2 linked regions of the Drosophila melanogaster genome follow. Each later gene encodes a partner of the first gene's protein in a complex. Each region holds a gene or a part of one and is shown in the gene's direction. Other genes may lie near its edges. The genes, in order: CG6420 and CG9062.

Region 1 (10,962 bases):
TTTCGGCGGCATCGAAAAACAACAGCAAATCCCCGCCAGCATCAACATGGGAGGCGGCCACCCGAAAGCGGCTTATGTCCTGGCCCCACCACCAACACCACCACCATCACTATCACCAGCACCACCTCCACGCCCATGTCCTTGGAGCAGCAGGGCGCGCATAAATTAACCAGCACTCAACCGGGAAAAATCGAAAAGCGCTTTTTAATTATATTTTCGACAATTTGTTTCAATACATGCGAACGCGCGCGTCCTGTTTTATTTGCGCGGCTTTGTGGGCGGATCCTGCGGTTCGGTCCACTGCCAGTGCTTCCACTTTACGCACCGCCGCTCCCGGTCGTAGAACAGCTCGTTGGCCGGGCAACGCTGCAGCTGGGCGGGTCGTTCCCGTTCCCAATCCCTATCCCGCTCCCGCTCCTCCTCCATTGATTTTCCGCCGCACTGCCAGTAGGCGGTGGGATCCCAGAAATGCCGGTAGCTCTGGCCCAGTTCCTCGGCACTGCGACAGCCTGGCTCTCCGTTGTAGTCCCGACCGGACATGGCTGAAAGTGAGAGGACACGAATTTAAGGACATTCAATTTTGGCTATCAAACACGGATATATTAAAGTCATTTCCTTTGGGCCCAAATAATTTAGTCCCAACAGTTGTGTAACTCAATATAGTTGAAGCTGCGTAGTTGTACATAAATAAATGTATTTTTAACAATATTTTACAGCCTTGTAAAAGCGCATTTAAAAAGTTCGCGATGTAAGTATGATTTTTTTGCACTCGTAGCATACGCAAATATTTTTTAAAATAAACTATTTATTGTCAACAAACAAACAGAAAAGTGCGGCGACAAATGTGTTTACGTTGTTTTAAGTGCTTTAGTTTAATGCCCGCAAAAACACAGTTAACCATTAAGCTAAAAGAGTTTATAAATTTTCTTTATTTTTTTTTTGTGAATTAAGTGCTTAAGAAAAATTTCCATTATTTATCTGACTGATTAATCGTGCCCTGACGTTACAGCAAAAATATTTATTTGTGCAAAGTCTTTGTGCTTATCTCACATGCGCTCAGTTACTAAGTTATTTATCAAAGATATTTACTAAATATTTACTTTTACTAGAGATTGCTAGCTTACTTCATTTCTCCTTCATTTCTTTGATTTTTGAATGCATGACAAGGAAATATTAAAAGAAAATAGTTAATATTACTGCATATTTGTTTTATTTTGTTATGTCAAATCTCCAATTCTATGCAGCAACTTCGGGTTGGCTGGGCGGCTGGACAGTGGGCGACCACACCCACTGGGGCCAGGGAACACAGGCCTTGGCGGAGTCCAACCAGGCGGAGGCAATGGGGCACTGGGCGAGGGTGGCGGGAACGCCCTGGGTGGAGCACACCCAGTAGGAGCTCTTCAGGTAGAAGTGGGCATAGAATGCCACCTCCAGCTCCTCGGCCGTTTGGCAACCGGGTTGACCAGTGGGCTTGGCCACAGCAGCTCCGCTGCAGAAGGAGGAGTAGCCGAGGATTAGGAAAAAGGCGAACAGAGGCAGGAACTTCATCTTGAACTAGGGGTGGCTTTCGTTGGACTGACCTATGCTAATCGGTGGCGAGCTTTTTATACACTCCACGAATAGCCGAAATCTTATCGAGCGGAACTGAGGTGTGATGCTGTCTGTGGTCGCGATAAGCTCATCTAGTATTTCCTGCCACCCCCCAGCAACCCACTCTGTTTTCGCATTTTATAGCGCTGTTTGTTTGCCCGATTGCTGTTTCTTCCGCTCGAGCCGAGCTGGATAGGAGCTGGCCAGTTGGGTCCAGGTGGGTACCCATCCCGGTCGGCCTGCTTGCATATTCATGACATCAACGGCAGCTGTAAATTATTTTCAGAGATAGCCGAGGCAGGCCGCAAACAAGCGGAGTAGCAACGATGTTGCCTCGGCTGGATACGCTGGCTAATTAATTCAAAACACTGCCTCAAAGGCATTTTTGGGGCTGGGCCAACAAATTTCACCTGGCTGCGCGGTGGGAGGAGGAGTACGCCTTAAGCCACACAACGTCCTTCGTCCTCCTGGCGCACTTGAGTAATTGCCCCAGTGCACTGCACAGTGCAGTCGGAGTCGGGAGTTGGGAAAAGGCCTCCTTGGCCTTTGTTGCTCAGTTTTGCGGATTGGGCTTTTGTTAGTTTTGGGCCATAAATTAAATCGGGTTATTAATGTCTGCCATTAAGTGAAGCCACCGGGAGGAACGGCACTTGGCTGGCTGCAAAATGCCCACTTCCTGCCGCCGTTGTCCTTGCCACAGTGATTTATGCTAATTCGTGTGGCATTTGTAGCATTTCCCCGAGTATTTTCAGATTTTCAAAGACAAGGCCATTATTTTAGACAGCGCAGGTAGGGCTCACCGTTCACTGATTTAAAATTCATTCGACCACTCCGAAATGCCGAAACCCAATTATGTGACGCACTTTTTTGTTCACTCTCGTCTCACTTTTAAAAACATACTTGCAGCGGTATTAAACGGAATGGAAAACAAAGAGGCAGAAATGCAATTAAATATATTGCGTATACGTCACGTATGCTAAAATTTCATTTCACAATTTTTATACCTCTCCCTTTGATTCACGCTGCTGCCTCTTCGTTTCGCCGTTTGGCTGGCGGAAAATTCTTTTACATGCAAATATTTTGTTGGCACTCGCACGCACGTCGCCCCGAAAGCGAGAAATAAAAATTCAATTGAATGGTATTTTTTCGCCGCTTATTGATGTGCTCGGGGGCCTGACAAAGCGTTTGACTGACAACTGTGAAATGAAATAAAATTCTCGCACCAACTACATGGGCGAGTGCATCAAAAATAGTGCAACTTATTGCCAGGCAGCCAGGGAGCAAAGGGATCGGCTCGATGGCGGTTGCGCCCACATATTGATTTATGACAAATGCCCACCGAAAAGGGGGCGTGGCCCGTCAGTCAAGACCGCTTAACTGGCGTCAGAAGCCGCGCGTTAACAATGGCAACCGTAATTGCAACTGGCCATCGGCGGATCATCATCACACGGCTGGCATAAAAATACCCAATGCAATACCCAAATCTCCGCCATCCGGGACACTGAGAGAAAAGAGTGTGCCTGTTAATATGATTCATTGAGATATCATCATCGAGACTCGCACTGAGATATGCGACTTATCGCTCTCGCGGATCGTGCTCTTGACATTGGCCAGATAAGATGACGGGGGAAACTTGGGGACATGGAGACGTATTGCCTCAAACATTTTTGGCACCCATCTCGATGCATTCTTCATTAGCTTTGGATGCTCTTCAAAGGCATTACTAGAAATAATTGGTTTATTCTCGGCATTACAACAGCTTCATGATATTTCTGTCACTTGTAATGAAAAATAAATAAATAGATTATCAAGTTCCTATCTACTTAAATTTGGCTTACCTATATTTTCGTTATTATTTGCTTAAATTATGTTAAAGAGCGTGACATATTGTTTAATCTTTGCAGTGAAAAAAACCTCCTGAATTCTGCAAACGGATATTGTTATACAAATCTAATAAATTAGCATGTATTTAATATAGTTTTTCTATACTGAAATGCAAATTATACGTGTTAATTTCCCTTTTTTTTTATGCTTTTTATTATACCCAACACAACAATTTTTTAATTGTAATAAAGAAGAGTAAGGAAATTTTCATTTATCAGAGAAATGACCAAAATTTAAACTGTGAAACATAATTTTTAGTTTAAGCCTAAATCCATTATTGTGGCCAAGCAACACGGACTTGCTCACTCTTTTAGCATCCACTCCATCCAGGAGGACGACTGGGCGGCTCCTGGCATGGCTTCCACTCCCAGGCGGTCCATGGCACACAGGCGTTGAGGTCCTGATCGAATCCGGTGTTGGGCTGGCACTTATGAAGGTGCGCCTGCGAGTTGATGGCGCTGCAGAGCCAGTACTTGGTGGGGTCCAAACAATAACGCTGGGGGATTTGCAGCTCCGCCGGGTGGAGGCATCCCGGCTCAGTGGAGTCGTTGCACATCGAGCGGATTCCGGACGGAAGCAGGAGCAGCACAAGGCAGCATGCCAGTGACCAGGAAAAAGCTAATCGGATATAATCAGCTTTAGTCCTTCGAATTGCGACGAATAGCGAGGGCATATACTCACCTTGCGGATGCATGGTTTTAGTGAAAGTGGTTAATTTTCCTGCTGTTGCAGATGGTTTTTATACAAGCAGTCCGGCCCCTCAAGTGGCCATTCTTATCAATCGCTCTTGATTGATTCGAGTTCGATGCGCTGCTCGAGGTCGTCGCTTGTTTGCCCATCCCACTTGGTCGGACTAAGCTGATGGGGGGGGGGGGGGGTGGAATTCCTAGGGTGACAATGCCAAGACAAAAGACATGTGTCCCAAACGAGATTTAGCTGGGAACTTCAATGCAATTGGCAGTGCAAAGTAACGAGAAAATGGGAGCAAGTAAAAGGCGGAAGGGCAGCAAAACAGCAGCTTCATTCTTCTTCTTCTTCACTGGCCAATTTCGCAGGACATGCCAAATGCATTTCCGGCTAACACCACACACACACTACCAGTGGCTGGAATAACGCAAGTCACTGTCATTGGTTTCTGTCGAATGTTGTTTATTTTGTTGGTTGTCCATTGATAAACCAAAAAAAATGAATACTGGAAAAGTTCAAAAAGGAAAAAGGAATCATAAAATGGACTTACAAAATAACCAAAGTTAGGTTATATAACTAAAAACTTTAACATTAAAGTTAGAACTTTATTATTTTCATATTTTTCATAAAAAAAAATGGAATTTATGAATATCATGAAATTCAAATTACGCGCCAAGCGTTTTAATGCTGCCCATTATTAAAAATATTGGCATCATTGATTGCAAACTATTTTGGACAGTCTGGCTGCCTTCACTGGAAATATTTTGTTTCAATGATAATGCTCGTAAATATTTTATACATAAGATGCTAAATCTTTAAGTGCACTTGTCTTAAGAAAGTAATAACAAAAGCAATTTATATATTTCGGCCTTAAATCGTTAAGAGTGACCAGTCTTTGGAGCGTTGTAAATCCAGCTCTTCGAACATCGAACAGTATCGACGGAAAGTATCGACGTTTTCTCACATCGCTAAGCCCAATCAGAAATTAGAAATAAATTAAGTAATTTGTGCGGAATAAAAGCAAGCGTGCGGCCGATGCGATAACCGCGATCCCCGTCACCCTTACCCCGCCGCCACCACGCCGTGATGCAGGCAACCAGCGCAGTGGCCGGAAAACTCGGAAAACTTGGCGAACGCAGCTGCAACGGCAGAAACAACAACAGTGCAAGCACAGCCCCACGAAACTCGGTGTAGTGAAGGAATTAAATCTAATTATAAGAAGAAAACAAGTGAAGGGCAAGCCCAACCCCGCGGCGCTTAATTAGCGGCGACAGCCAGCGATTTTCGTGGCTGGGTAGGAGCAACTGCAGCGCCCGCAGAGCCACCACTAGCACCACTGGCACCTGGCATTCACATGGGCTGAGTGCCGAGTGGATCGGTGGATCGGCGAAGGCGCAGCAGCAGCAGAGGAGCAGAAGCGGGAGCCGCACCAGCGATGGCCAACCAACTGGACGCCAGTGTGAAGGACGACCTGAAGACGCAGTTCGTCACCCGCGAGGGCACCTACCGCCTGCTGACCCTCTCGGAATACTCGCGGCCCAACCGGGTGGGCTACAGCAGCAACCAGAGCTCGCCGCAGGTGCGCGTCTCCATGGTGACCCTGCCCAGTCCGGCGCAGGGCAAGCTCGGCTCGGATGTGGGCGTGGGCACACCTGTGGGCGGCGGAACAGCAGGAGCCAACACCACCACAACGAATGGCAGCTCGCCGGGAGCGTCGCCTACGGGAGCAGCCGGAGCCAGCACAGCAATATCGAATGGAGGCGCTGGCGGTGACTATAGCCACAGCAACCACAACAGCAACAGTGCCGGAAACAACACTGTGGAGGCGCGTCTGGGCGGCGGCATATCCATGCACTCCATGATGAACGGCGGCGTCGTCGACCAGAATGGCGTGGCCACCAATCAGGTCCTAGGAGGCGATCGCATATGCTTCAACTTCGGACGAGATCTCTACGTTTACTCCTTTCGCGGAGCCAAGAAGGTAAACATTGTCGGCCAGAGATAGTCTCCATGCGCAAGCACGTGCGATGGAGGAGAAATGGTGCAGGTGGCGGTGCAGCGAGCTTATCACACCAGAGATAGAATAGAGGCTGCCGGCAATTGCATTCCAGGCGGATTGCACCAGCCAATTGGCGAGGGCCTAAAATACCTTGCCATTTGCATGCAGTGTCCCCCCAGTGTGCTTAATTTGCTCCACTTCGAGCGCTTGATGATCAATTCGCTTGTTTGGCGTTTTTATGAATGTTTATTGCGCTCGAAGGCAGTCGGTTGTGAGCGGTTTCAGCTCATCCCTGCGCGCGGATTACCCTAACTTTTGTTTGCACCTGCTGTAGTCAACGAACATTCCGATAGAGTAATCCTGGTGCGGCTTTCGACCATCCGAATTGCTCATCGCGTCGCTTGTGTTTGCCCTGTTTCCCCTGCCCAGCAGCTGTTTCTAATTCTTTGGCATTCTGTGCGGCAACAGCTTGCGATTCTCCTTATGTATTTGCTTTAGCTGGCTTCTTTGTTGCCATAGTTATCTGCTGGCGAGAACTTGGCAAGGCTTGCATAGAGCTTTTCCCACCTGATTCCGCCAACAAGCTGTTAATTTCCACTCCGCTTTCCGAATGTGTTAATTTCCAATCTTATTTCAACCCACTGAACGTATTCTTCCATTCCAAACTTGGCTCAAACGAAATTATTTGAGCCTGTTCCGCTTTGCCATTTGACTTTCACTGCATTCATATTCTTAATCTTGAAAATTATTCTATGATGATGACTTATATTTCAGTGATTTGTTTATACAAGCTCTCATCCAATAGCATCTTGTTGCACAAAGCATCGAGCTTATGATATCAATAGGGTGGACAGCTTATAAACATTTCCATCTTGGTCACAAGATATTATATAAACTTGGCTTCCATTCAGTGAACGTTTTATTTCAAAGAGTTTCTTGCCTCTTTAGGTTTACAATAGGAAAACGTAACGCAATTCAGAACGACTAAGATAAATATAAACAGATGATAGTGACTCTTGTTGACTTACTTTCAGGGCACGGAGATGAGCAAGCCGATCGATAAGAAGTTCTACAAGGGCACCAATCCCAGCTGCCACGACTTCAACATAAGCTCGGCCACGCCCACGGGAGCGCCCCTTCTGGTGGGCTTCACCACAGGTCAAATCCAGCTGGTCTCCCCGCACGTTGGTCCTCGGGAAGTGAGGAAGCTCTTCAACGAGGAGGTGAGTGTTCCACCTGAGATATATATATATATAGCCCTTCAAAGCAAACTGATTATTATGTGTGTTTTTCAGCGACTGATCGACAAGACCAAAGTGACCTGCCTAAAGTGGCTACCCAACTCACCGCACCTGTTCCTCGCCGCCCACGCCTCAGGTCACCTGTACCTGTACAACGAGGAACTACCCTGCGCCGCCACAGCGCCCAGCTATCAGCCCTTCAAGCTTGGCGACGGCTACACGATACTCACCAGCAAGTCCAAGACCACAAGGAACCCGCTCTTCAAGTGGGTCTTCAGCACCGACAACTGCTGCGTCAATGAGTTCTGCTTCTCGCCTTGCGGATCTCACTTGGCGGTGGTTTCCCAGGACGGTTTCCTGCGCGTCTTTCACTACGACACCATGGAGCTGCTCGGAATCGCACGCTCCTACTTTGGCGGCTTCCTCTGCGTGTGCTGGTCCCCTGACGGCAAGTACATTGTCGTGGGTGGCGAGGATGACCTGGTGACTGTGTGGTCGCTCCACGAGCGACGTGTAGTGGCTCGCGGACAGGGCCATCGGTCCTGGGTCTCTGTGGTAGCGTTTGACCCGTATACCACCTCGTACACAAACTGGGATGGCGGCGACTTCAGCGACGATGAGAATCAAATGAACGAGTACTCCCATTCGCGAGAGGCGCGCTTCTCCGGAGATTCCACGGCCAACGGTGGCTTCGAGGGTTTCGACCGAAACTCCACACCCGTTCACGCTGACCGCAACGGACCACACTCGGCCTCCTTTCGCTCGGACGCTTCTTCGGCCGAAAAGCTAATGAGTTATAGACTTGGCTCCGTCAGTCAGGATACCCAGATCTGCCTATGGGACATCACGGAGGACGTTCTACGCCACCCATTGGTGTTAAGGCAGCCCGCTAACAGTGAAAGGGCCTATCTCAACGGTGGTGTCGACGAAGAAGCGGAAGCAGAAGACGGCATAAAGGTAATCCGACCAGTGGCCATGTCTGGTCAAGCGACTGGACAGCAAGCGGAATCGGGCAGCTGTAGTCCAACACGGGAAGCAGCGGGCGGAGGCACAGGGAACGGTGCTGGCGAGCACAGCAATAGCAGTTCCAGCAAGTTCTCAACCGCCAACTGCACGATATCCTCGCAATCCTCGCCCGACGACTGCGACACCGAGGCAGCCACTCCCGCCTCAACTTCATCGAATGCGGGCGCAGGCTCGGTGGCTGGAGCGGGAGCGGTGGCCTCAACGAAGCAGAACAACCGCAACCATGGCACTGGCAACTCAATCAAATTCCCCAACTGCATCAGCGCCACCAAGTCAGACAGCATTGACGGAGGCGGCGGCAGCGGGAGTGGACAGAGGCCGTCGCAGACTACATCGGGATACAACAGCAAGACTTCCAACAGCTCGAACAAGTCCTCCAACTCGGGCAGCGGCTTCAGCGCCTTCAACAGCCTCACGCAGCGTCTCTCGAACTTCAGTTTCCTGAGCAGCTCGGAAAAGAAGGGCGCTGGCTATGAGGGAAGCCATTCCACCGCGCACCGTCAGCACCGCAAGGCAATGAGCATGCTGAAGAGCTACAACCAACACAACCACACTGGCGGACACAACAACCACAGCCAGAGTAACAACAGCAGCTCCTCCAACTTTGGCCACTCGAGCACTCTGGATTCGAATGCAGCCGGGGCCATTGGCAGCAGCTCGACGGCGCATAGTTTCGGATCACTGAAACTGAGCCGGTCCTCGCACCACTCCTCATTGGCCACAGCCGCCCATGCGTCGGGATCTGCAGCGGGCTCTGGCTCCGGTGTCAGCAGCTTCGATCCCATGCAGCTTATCGGAACTCCTGCCTGCCCCCGTTTCGATGAGTGCCCACTGCTGGAGCCGCTGGTCTGCAAGAAGATCGCCCACGAGCGGCTGACGGCGCTGATCTTTCGCGAGGACTGCTTCCTGACGGCGTGCCAGGATGGATTCATCTACACCTGGGCGCGGCCAGGTCATGCCACGGTGAGTGCGACACCTTGATTCTATAGACTCGAAGCGGGCAATATTTTTAATGATATACCCTTCTTTGACAGCACGCCACTCAGCACTTGTCACCTGGACAGGCGGCGGCGCCCGGCGGGACGGTAATTTAGTTCAATAAAGTGGACTTGGTCAACTATCAGCGTAATCTTGTCAAGCAGCAGGAGCAGGAGCAGCAACAGAAGCAGTCGGTGATCTAGGTTAAAGCTAGGCGATTGATTTCGGTAATTTATTGATAGGAGCAAGAGTTTTAAAGGTTTTATGTTGCGTATTTTGTATTCCAAATGTAGCCTAAATGAGTTTATGAACCACACACGACACACCGTACACCCGTAATATATATACATATATACATATATGTATATATACGATATATAGCTATGTAAAACATAACTACGATCTATATACGCAGCATCATCAGGCAACAGAACAAACGTATATGTTTAATCTAAATTATTAGTTGTAAATGTATTATTTTTTTAGTACGTGGAATTTGTTGAAAACAAAGCAAAGCATGTTTATAACTATTTACTAAGTGCTAGCCTACACTACACACGATAAATAAAGCAAAAGAACGAAGAAGTGAACTGCATTAGCGAACTAAAATAAACAGAATCAAATAGAGGAATGGAGTGGAAGGGAATGAGAAGTGGACGTCTTTACACATCGTGCTATGTACTGAGTTGCGGTCGAGGCCCCAAACTAACCAACGACGAACTATCTAACTATGTAAACTCACGAACTAACCTAAAGTAGGAACTGTTATCATTACTAATACTATGGATTCGTATGCCTTTTATTTTTTGATGCAAGCCGCCGAGTGCAACGTTTTAGCATGCAGACGACAACCGAACAAATTAGACTAAATGCAGACAGGAACCGGAAATCGGTGATCGGAAATTTGAAATCTGAAACCCGAACCAACACAGCAACAAACATTTCACACATATATTTTATAACGAGCCAGGAGAAACAACAGTCGGCACCTTGCGATGTTAGCCAATAAGTTAACAATGAGCCGAGCAAGCAAAACCAACCAAGAACACGTTACAGTAAAAAAAGACTAAAATTTCAATAAAATTATATAAAAAATTAGTTTTCATAGCTGGTATTTATTTATAAAATGTGTTTGTTTCTAACAAAAATATGCTTCTCTCGCTCGAGTCTCAAATGAGACAACCACAAACTTCATGCTGGAAAACACAATGCCTAGGCTCTGTGGAATCGTTCGACATGTGAGTGGCCACCCTGGCCACGATTAACTCAAGGAGTATGCAAATTAACCTATCAAGCCTGTGGGTTAGAAGGTCTTGGGCACCGTCAGCACCTCCGCCTCGGGCAGATACAGGTGCTTGGAGAGCAGGAAGGCGAACAGCGCCTGTCCCGCGACGATCATGAACAGGAAGTAGAGTTTGCGCTTTTTCCCGCCGCTGTAGTCAAATTGCTGTGGATTGCCATACGGATCGTAGTTGATGGCTCCACTGGGCGCAGCCGGGGAGTTGTCCTGCAGCAGTTTCGTCCGCAACGTGCGGAGCTACAATGAAGGTAAGATTA
Region 2 (9,170 bases), on another chromosome or scaffold:
AATGGGTTGAGTTCTTTTTGCATCGATTTTCCCGGCCGGAATGAAAAAATTTAAAATTGTGTTTTTTTAACCGATTATGAATTTTTCGGAATAGTTAAAATAAATACATAATAAACAACTTGGCATCTTGGCAAGTGTATTGATATTATACTTTTAAAAGTAAAATACAGACGATTCTTAAAACCCCTATATCGGTATAATAAATAGTTAAAGTGCAACTATCATGCTCATTAATAAATGTTTTTGTTCGCTTGTTCCTTGACTATTGAAGTACGCGTGGAACATTAACAGTACACAGTGCAATTGAAAGTGTTAAAACGAACTAATCTTAGCTTATTTAAAGATAATATTAGAAATATAACGGAACCAGTAATACTCCATTGAGAAGCAGGTACATAGTAACGGTTGCACTCTTTTCCAATTGCAGAAGAGCGAGTAGAGTGATGAGCGAATCTCTATCTTCTCAAGTGGAGGAGACCAAAGTGTCCGATGATGATGGTGTAAAAGAGAAAGCTGAAGTGTCCACCGCCAAAGATTCGGCGGAAACGGCTATGGAAGTGGAGGCAGATGACACTGGTGGTCAGCAGCCGGAGCAGAGTGAATTGTTGGATAAGGAGAAATCTGCCACGGTGGATATAAACACACTCACTCCCTCGACGCCCTCACAAACCCCGCCACAACTGCTGGCCGTCGAAACTGCCACATCGGGAAGCACGGCCGTCATTCCGGAGAACATCCTGTCCCCGCCCAAGTCAGAAACTCAAACCGATGAGACTAACACGGCAACATCGACGTCCTGCTCCCCAGCCTCTGACGGTCAGCGGTCGCCGGCGGCGGATCAACAGTCATCGGCACCACCGCCACAGGTACAGGCACAGGCCACGCCGGCGCCGGTCAATGGCTCCGTACCAAAGTCGGGGAAACCACTCTCCACAGCGCTCAGCGGCAAGAAGACCAGCAAAGCGGCCACTACGTCACCACGTGCATCCAGATGCCGCAAAACCAAGGCGCTGCCCATGTACGAAAGCGAAATCAGCGACAACAAGATGGGTATCCGACTGTGCATCAAGAAATCTGATGCCGGAGAAGGCGCACCTGCTGGTGTCACATCTCCGCCAGTTGCAGTTCCCGCAGCAACAAAAACTGTGCGCAAGCGCGTCCGTAAACCAAAGCAACAGGACAGCGATGAGGCCGAGTATGAGCCGCGCAAGAAAAAAGGCGGAGGAGGTGGTAGTGGCGGCGAAAAGAAGGTTTCAACGAGTCCGGATGCTGCGGAGGCGGCTGGCGATCCAGTCGAGCAGAGTGTCTGGGCTCAAAAGCTGCCCGAGGAAGTCCTATTCAGAGTGAGAATTAAACCAAGCAGCATATAAATGGTGTTCGTAATATGAATTCATCTTACAGATCTTTGAGCATGCTGTGGATACACAGGGCTGTCTGCCCACCCTGTTTCGCCTTGGCAGAGTTTGCTCGCTCTGGCGGCAGGTGTCTCTTAGGCCTACTCTGTGGCGCACTATGGATCTTACCACATGGGTCAAAGAGAAATATCGCACCGAACTCAAGCTCAAGTGGTTTGTCGACAACCGCTGCAGTGCCTGTACAGACTTGAATGTTTGTAAGTTGAGAAGTATGGTCTTGAGACTATAATTTAATTTTAAAATATCTCCTTTCAGCCAATTGGAAAATATCAGACATAAATTGCTTCCTTGCCAAATTGTCAAGCGGGTGCCCGAACCTTGCAGGCATTACGCTCTCCGGCTGGAAAGGTTTCACTTCGGATCATCTTACGTATTTGGTGGATAACATGCACAAGTTGCAGCGCTTGGACTTAAGTTCCATCAATGTATGTTGTGGCATGTGTTTGCGAAGCTATATCTGATTCAAATTTGTATCGCACAGGTTGAGATGAATGCCAGCAAGAGCGCCGTGGGTGTCAACTCCCTATGCAATGCACTCCAGACCATGGGCAGCCGTCTAACACATCTCTATTTGGCGCACAATCGTCTGGCAGGAATACCACAAATAGTCGGAATTCTTTCGGTGAGTTCACAACGCTTTTACAACTTATTTCCTATGACTTATGGGCTTCTTTTTCATATTGCAGACGCACTGTCCGAATCTAACATTATTGGATCTCTCGAACGTGACCACGCAGGCCACATCACACGGTGTACTCCACATTGAGAAGTTGCAGCGTGGCTGCCAGAAGCTAAAGGTCCTGCGTGTGACAAACTCTCATATAACGCCAAGCACGGCATCAATGCAGGAAATTGTAAGATTCGCATTTCAATGTTCGAACTATGTTTTAAAAGAAAGCTTTTGCAGATGGACTCACCTGGTTTTCCGGAACTTGAAGAACTGTCCGTGGCTGCCTTAACAGATGAATCCCGCATCATAAGCGACGACCATCTGCAGCGCATCCTTAAGAGCAGCTCCAAGCTAAAGCTACTGGACGTACGCAACTGTACACGACTGACGCACGAGAGCCTAATCCGCTTACCTGCCTGGGATATCAAGCATTTATTCCTGTCAGGTTGCTCAGTCACACGAGATATGGGGTGGGTCTAATTAGCATTGTTATGCAGAACGCAGACTAATCAAAAGTTTTCCCAACGTAGGTCGGGTCTGGAACTCATTGCCTCAAAGTGGGCGCACAGTCTCATAGAACTGGATTTGGCTTGGGCGAATATGCAGCAGCCCATTGATAATGCGTTGCGCGCCCTAGCGGAAAAGGGCAGAGATTCGCCGTTGGCGTGAGTATATATTGAACTAATGTATCTATTGTGTGCTAATATATATTATAATTTATTTCTCCCCTGCAGTCATTTGAATCTATGCGGCTCCTCTGTTTCCGATGAGGCGGTAAAGGAAATACTGACGAACTGCCAAAATATGAGCTCCATCAACTTGGCATCGTGCCGTGGTCTGCCGCGAGGCGTCAAGCGCTTGATGCAGGGACCGCAGGAGCTAGGCGAACTTCGGGAGGTTCTGGGGGTGCAGCTGAAGAGCAGCAGCGGGAGCAACTAATCCAGTCAGTGGGCAAGTCCACACATCGGTTTTATTGTTGATCAGGCGGGCCAAGTTTAAATGTAATTTAAATTGTTGCATCCCTCTTCGCGCGAAAGGCGTTAAGCGCTTTGTTGATTTTGTAATGTAGTCCGCAAACATATTGCAATATTTGCATATTTGCAATCGCTTGCATCTTCCAATAATGCTTATTTTGTTTATAGGCCCTAGAGCGTAACTACTGTACTAGCATAGTATTCTCTGCACAGCGGCAGCAGCGAGTTCCTCCCTTTTCTGGAGGTGCCCGCATTAGATGCTGTGCGAATAAGCAACCTTTTGTAAATGCAATATGTATTCATAACTAAGTTGATTCGAATTTTTTGCAGCGCGAAAATCATTTCCTTTTGAAGACAACCGTTGCAACGATTTTCAATGATTTTTTTTAGTATATATAATGGTATATATATATATATACATACTGATTTATTGATAGTTAAGTCCGACCATTGAGCGTTTGTAAAGTATGTATACAAGAATTAAAAATAAGTTTAAAGTGTATAATTCGCAATACAAAAAGAATATATTTACCATAAAGTAGTCGTCAATTCAAAGTCGCCAAGGCAATTTGTAGAATGTTTTAATCCGACAAGAATGTACATATTGGCGTTTCCGATTAGATGTTTTTATATAAACGAAGTAACCATTTATAAAGGTAACGCATATACCACACATACATAACATAAATTAAAACAATTCAATTGTTAAGCATTACTAGCAGTTAAGAGACGGCAATTAAAGGTACATTTAATTTAAAATAAACGCAAACATTTTCAATCTACACCCGGCATTATCCATCTCTTGACACAGCAAAACACACCGCTCAGTCGGGTTTATAGTATAATTTTATTCAAATATGCGGGAGATAATATTGCATTACGAGCTATGTACGGCCAAGACAGCAATTACAGTACGAACCCACTTTTGGGTTCGAATACCTCAGTCCTATATCGTATCGATCAGATCATCTAGTTCTTCTGCAGCTTATCCACGTCCTGAATGTAATCAGTGCCGACCTTCACGATGGCGGCGCCAGTTCCCAAGCCCGCCAGGGTCGCCAGCAGTGCATTGTCCTGTGGCAGGGCGGACTTGATGAGCGCCCAGGCCAGAACGGATCCCATGGAGAATAGGGTGGCGCCCAGCAGGGCGTACGCACCTCGCTTGTTGTTCTTCACGTCCTTCAGGTGGGGCCTGCCGTAAATGTAGAAGGCACTGCCCACCACCGCGGAGATGAGGAACACGTTCGTCAGGTCCTTCTTGGGCAGGATTTTGGGCACGATCTGGGGGTTCATAACATTCACCGCAAGGGCTCCGTAGCTCACCAGGCCGTGCAGCGGTATGTAGTAGTTGAACACATTATCCCGGGTGAAGGGCTTGAGGCCCACTTTGTCGCATATGCTGCAGGCGTCTTTTGACTGTGTCCCGGCCATTATTATCGGTGAAAATGCAATTAAGTTTTTGGATCCCGGTGAGGTCGACGAGTCTTCTTCTTCTTGTTATGTAAAGAATAGGGCTGCCAGGTCGCGATATATGTGAAAGTTATGTCGGTCTTCGCGGACACTCTGCAGATGGTATATCACTGGTTCTAGGTAGATATGTGTATAAAGATGTAAATGTTTTGACCAATATAATATGTCAATGTCTGAGAGATCCTAATATATAAATGTACATATCTGACAGGGAGAGTACTTGTTATCAAGGGCTTTAACGCTTGGAGCGCTCATGTTAGTGGGCGTTTTGCGTATTTGCATAACATTAGCCCCGATATTTCCTGAATGTACAATTAAAAACAAATGTTATAGTTATTTTCTTGGCTGGTTTTTTAAAAATTTTCGAATTTTTAAGTTTAGTGGTTCCGGAACGAGTCACCTTTCTGAACAAGAAGTGTCAACTCTGTTGAACAGCCGGCACGGTGTGCACAACCAGGTGGCAACACCAGCCGGCGCAGGAGAATGAGTGGAGGAGTGCCTGAGAGGTGGGAGGACCGAATGGGGAGAGACAGAGAGCGAAATAGGTGCGAAAAATTTGTAGTTGCCTGGAAATTCCTCAATTTCAATTTGCAAAAAGTAAATATCAGCCGCCCCAAAGCAACGTCGATAAATGTGCGCGCCCCGCGAGCAGAGAACAACCAACGCCAGCTCCTGAAGCACTTCAGTCCAGAGATATCGCCGAGAGCCACAGTGCAGCAGATCCGTGGACGACATGTTGACGCACAAAACTTGTCAGGCACGTAAGAAAATGCAGGTGAGTGCGCCAATTGAAAACGGGAAGGAAAGCGGACACCTAAGCCCAAACTAATTCAATTAAACCGTCGGACGCCAGGTTTCCTTCGTGATACGGGACGCCGAGGAGAAACAGCACCGGAATGGCGTAAACGCTCTGCAGCTGGATGCCAATAACGGCAAGTTGTACTCCGCCGGTCGCGACGCCATAATCCGTGTGTGGAATACACGGACGGACTCCAGCGAGAAGTACATACAATCGATGGAGCACCACAACGACTGGGTCAACGACATAGTACTTTGCTGTAATGGCAGGAACCGTGAGTTGCTCCACCGATCAGTTTAGGCATTCATTCAAACATTCAATCTTTTGCACTCATAGTTATTAGCGCCAGCTGTGATACCACGGTGAAGGTGTGGAACGCCCAGAAAGGCTTCTGCATGTCCACCCTGCGGACCCATCGCGACTACGTGCAGGCGTTGGCCTACGCCAAGGATCGGGAACAGGTGGCCAGCGCTGGACTGGACAAGGCCATCTTCCTGTGGGACGTGAACACACTGACCGCGCTCACGGCGAGCAATAACACGGTTACCACCTCTAGTCTAACCGGGTCCAAGGACTCAATCTACAGCTTGGCCATGAATCCATCGGGCACCGTGATTGTGAGCGGGTCCACGGAGAATATACTGCGTATCTGGGATCCCCGCACCTGTATGCGCAGAATGAAGCTGCGAGGCCATACGGAGAACGTGCGCTGCTTGGTGGTGTCGCCCGATGGAAACCAGGTGGTGTCTGGCAGTTCCGACGGCACGATCAAGGTGTGGAACCTGGGCCAACAGCGCTGTGTTCAAACCATCCACGTGCACAAGGAGGGCGTGTGGTCGCTGCTGATGAGCGAGAACTTCCAGTACATCATCTCCGGCAGTCGGGATCGCAACATCATTGTGACCGAGATGCGGAACCCTAGTAACAAAACGCTTGTGTGCGAGGAGCAGGCGCCCGTGCTGAGTCTGGGCTACAACATCGACAAGACTGGGGTGTGGGCCACCACCTGGAACTCGGACATTCGCTGTTGGAAGCTGCCCATGTACGACAGGTGCACACTAAATTCCTCGGGCGGAATGGACGCACAATGGACACAGGGCGGCACTGAGGTGGCCTGCATAAAAGGTGGAGCCGCCATCAAGGAGTGCGCGGTGCTGAACGACAAACGTTATATCATAACCAAGGACTCACAAGATCAGGTCGTGGTGTACGATGTGCTGAGAGTTGTCAAAAAAGAGCAATTGGGCGCTGTTGATTTCGAAGCGGAGGTGAAGAAGCGTAATAAGCAGGTCTACATTCCAAACTGGTTCACTGTTGATCTGAAAACCGGGGTGAGTTAAGCTAAGCTCTATTGAAGCTTAAGTTCGTTTATACTTAATTATGCTTTGCAGATGCCAACGATTGTATTGGGTCAGGAGGAAGTGGATTGCTTTTCCGCTTGGGTTTCCATTGAAGCTGGACTGCCGGAGTGCGTCGATCCCACAACAGAGATTAAGGTTGATCGCTCATCAGACCCCTTCACATATTAAATGCCATTTAAAATGCTTTGTTTTTTTATAGATCAACTATGGCAAATTACTTTTAGAAGCCCTGCTAGAGTACTGGACACCACCGCATAGCATACCACCAAACGAAATGGAACCCGATATGCACGGCAATGGCTACTTCCAAGTGCCCAAGCACACGCCCGTCATCTTTAGGTTAGTGACTGTGATATAACCTTATCTGCACCATAACTAATTTCTCAAATTTCTGGCTAAATTAAACAGTGAAGTGGGTGGCCGCACTGTTTGCCGACTTTTGGTACGCGACGCAGCTGGCGATAGCGAAAGTACCCTGCTCCACGAAACGGCGCCTCAGTGGGTGACCGACGTGGTGATCGAGAAGAACATTCCCAAGTTCCTCAAAATACCGTTCTTCCTGCAGCCTCACCCGCAAATGACCAAGCCTGAACGAACGAAGAAGGTAGCCGTCCTTGACAGCAAACAAAACTCATGTTCTAACGCAATTTATATTAAATTTTTTAGGATCGTCTTGTGGCTAATGAATTTATTCAGTGTCGCAAGGTCTGCGAGCACGTGCTTGAAAAGGTGCTGAATGCGGAAACTACCCCAAGTGGGGGCAATGCTAACAATTCACTGCAGAATAGCCAGAGCGATGCTAATTCGGAGGGATCCCAACTGCCAGCTGAGGAACGAATTGAACTGTGGTGTAACGATGTGGTAAGACAAATGGACAAATCTCATTTAAAGGACCTTGTTCACCGCCTTTCCTTTAAAGGTTGTGGACCCCAACATGGACCTGCGCACGGTGCGCCACTTTATCTGGAAGCAGTCGACCGATCTAACGTTTCAGTACAAGACCAAACAGAATTTCAACTACGATGGTAAATAAGAGAGCCCACGCATTGAACAACACAAGAACACCTATCACAAACACAACGCATACTTGATTTCTGCAATTGCTATTGCCTAACCGAGAGTTGTGCTTATATATATCCGCCCCATAGGTTCGATCGGGGATAGCTTGGAGCGCGTGACGCGCAAGTATTGAACGCTGGCAAGTGATCTCCCGCCTAACCGAAGCAGTACCGATGCATTATTGAATGAGAACGAGATTGAGCAGATCGATTAACAATTTATATTTTTATAAGTTGATTTTGCAATATATTTGAGTTAACCTGCGATTCGTCTCATCTCTTCTCGACTCGACTCGTGGACAAACACAAACACATTCAAGGAGAATCTGTACGAGCGTTAACTTTAAATTTAAAAGTGCACCGGAGTACTTTTGTTTGTTCACTTCTCGTTAGGAATAAATATGTACTTCAGATTCAGACTTATAACAATTAGGCTTGCGACACACGTAGATAAGCATTGCAAAGGAGTAACTGCAGACATACCATTAAATCGTATTTGCATCTGAAGCAACTAGACCTAGAGTATTGCGCATATATGTATGTATGTAATATTCACACTTGTTTCACATTAGGTTTATACATAATTATTTACATAGAACATACATAGGTATAAGAAATCTGTTAAATATACAGAAAAATCAATGCAATGGTAGTAGCCCAACTTGTAAAGAGCTCTATGCAAGCCAATTTGTACATAAGTAATAAGCGAAAATCGAAAACCAGGATGGAAATCAATTAAAGTTATTAAATTATTTGGAAATCAAGCCTGTCTCTCAGTCCCTAAGATGATTACCCGCCCTCTTAACTAACAACTAGGAGTGTGCTCCTAACGCCGACGTCGCGTGCCCGCCACTCGGGAATAGGACTCGATGCAGGTCAGCAGGCTGAGCAGCTGTTGCTTCAGCGTCGAGGGTATGTGGTATCCGTGGATAATCCTCCGTGGCGCGTTGCTCGTCCGGATCAGCCAGCGGGCGACCAGCCAGAGGCAGTTTTCGCGCAGCGATCTCATCGGAAAGTGGATCAGCACTTCGCTGCGTACGTCAACCAGCTGATCCGGACTCTGCTGGCTCTTGGGTACCCGCACCCGAATCGGCTGAAAGATCCTCTGCGAGCGTACGTGCATCCGTTCGCCCGTGTAGTAATCCCGGAACAGCCAGCTGTGTGTGGTGAACGTGTTCACCCGCACCTCCTCGAAGGGCTTGAGGGTAAGGTACATGTTCTCCCGCTCCCGCTCGCACACCCAGTACAGATCCAGGGTGCGATAGGTGGTGTTTGCAAACAGCACGTACACCTCCACCTTTCCCTGATCAGCGCCCACCAGCTGCTGGCCGTCGCGGTTGTTCTGCGCTATTTGGAGCGCCATCTCCAGCAGGGTGCTAAGCCGATCTGCAATGGCTGCCAAATCAATTTTCGTTGTTTTACG

The links.
Region 2: CG6420 (region 1) and CG9062 share a complex: the UniProt entries of both Drosophila melanogaster proteins name them as parts of the usp12-46 deubiquitylase complex.

The regions. Positions count from the first base shown.
Region 1 is NT_033777.3:26,719,347-26,730,308, reverse strand, and holds CG6420 (uncharacterized protein), read left to right. Parts: upstream 1-5,092; 5' UTR 5,093-5,596; coding exon 5,597-6,142; intron 6,143-7,194; coding exon 7,195-7,383; intron 7,384-7,455; coding exon 7,456-9,390; intron 9,391-9,461; coding exon 9,462-9,521; 3' UTR 9,522-10,462; downstream 10,463-10,962. Other genes in the region: CG14246 (uncharacterized protein), read right to left, coding at 259-540; CG14245 (uncharacterized protein), read right to left, coding at 1,237-1,548; CG14244 (uncharacterized protein), read right to left, coding at 3,785-4,092, 4,156-4,168; Yif1 (Yip1-interacting factor 1), read right to left, coding at 10,709-10,942. UniProt on the Drosophila melanogaster protein: Regulatory component of the Usp12-46 deubiquitylase complex.
Region 2 is NT_033778.4:11,279,818-11,288,987, reverse strand, and holds CG9062 (uncharacterized protein), read left to right. Parts: upstream 1-5,016; 5' UTR 5,017-5,074; exon of another isoform or gene 5,075-5,137; 5' UTR 5,138-5,262; coding exon 5,263-5,304; intron 5,305-5,382; coding exon 5,383-5,602; intron 5,603-5,664; coding exon 5,665-6,659; intron 6,660-6,719; coding exon 6,720-6,824; intron 6,825-6,888; coding exon 6,889-7,028; intron 7,029-7,097; coding exon 7,098-7,293; intron 7,294-7,355; coding exon 7,356-7,550; intron 7,551-7,608; coding exon 7,609-7,714; coding exon of another isoform or gene 7,715-7,722; exon of another isoform or gene 7,723-7,837; coding exon 7,838-7,881; 3' UTR 7,882-8,504; downstream 8,505-9,170. Other genes in the region: Fbl6 (F-box and leucine-rich repeat protein 6), read left to right, coding at 444-1,343, 1,402-1,612, 1,671-1,840, 1,897-2,037, 2,102-2,269, 2,323-2,555, 2,616-2,750, 2,820-3,024; CG13220 (uncharacterized protein), read right to left, coding at 4,029-4,490; Vhl (von Hippel-Lindau), read right to left, coding at 8,574-9,110. UniProt on the Drosophila melanogaster protein: Regulatory component of the Usp12-46 deubiquitylase complex. activates deubiquitination by increasing the catalytic turnover without increasing the affinity of deubiquitinating enzymes for the substrate.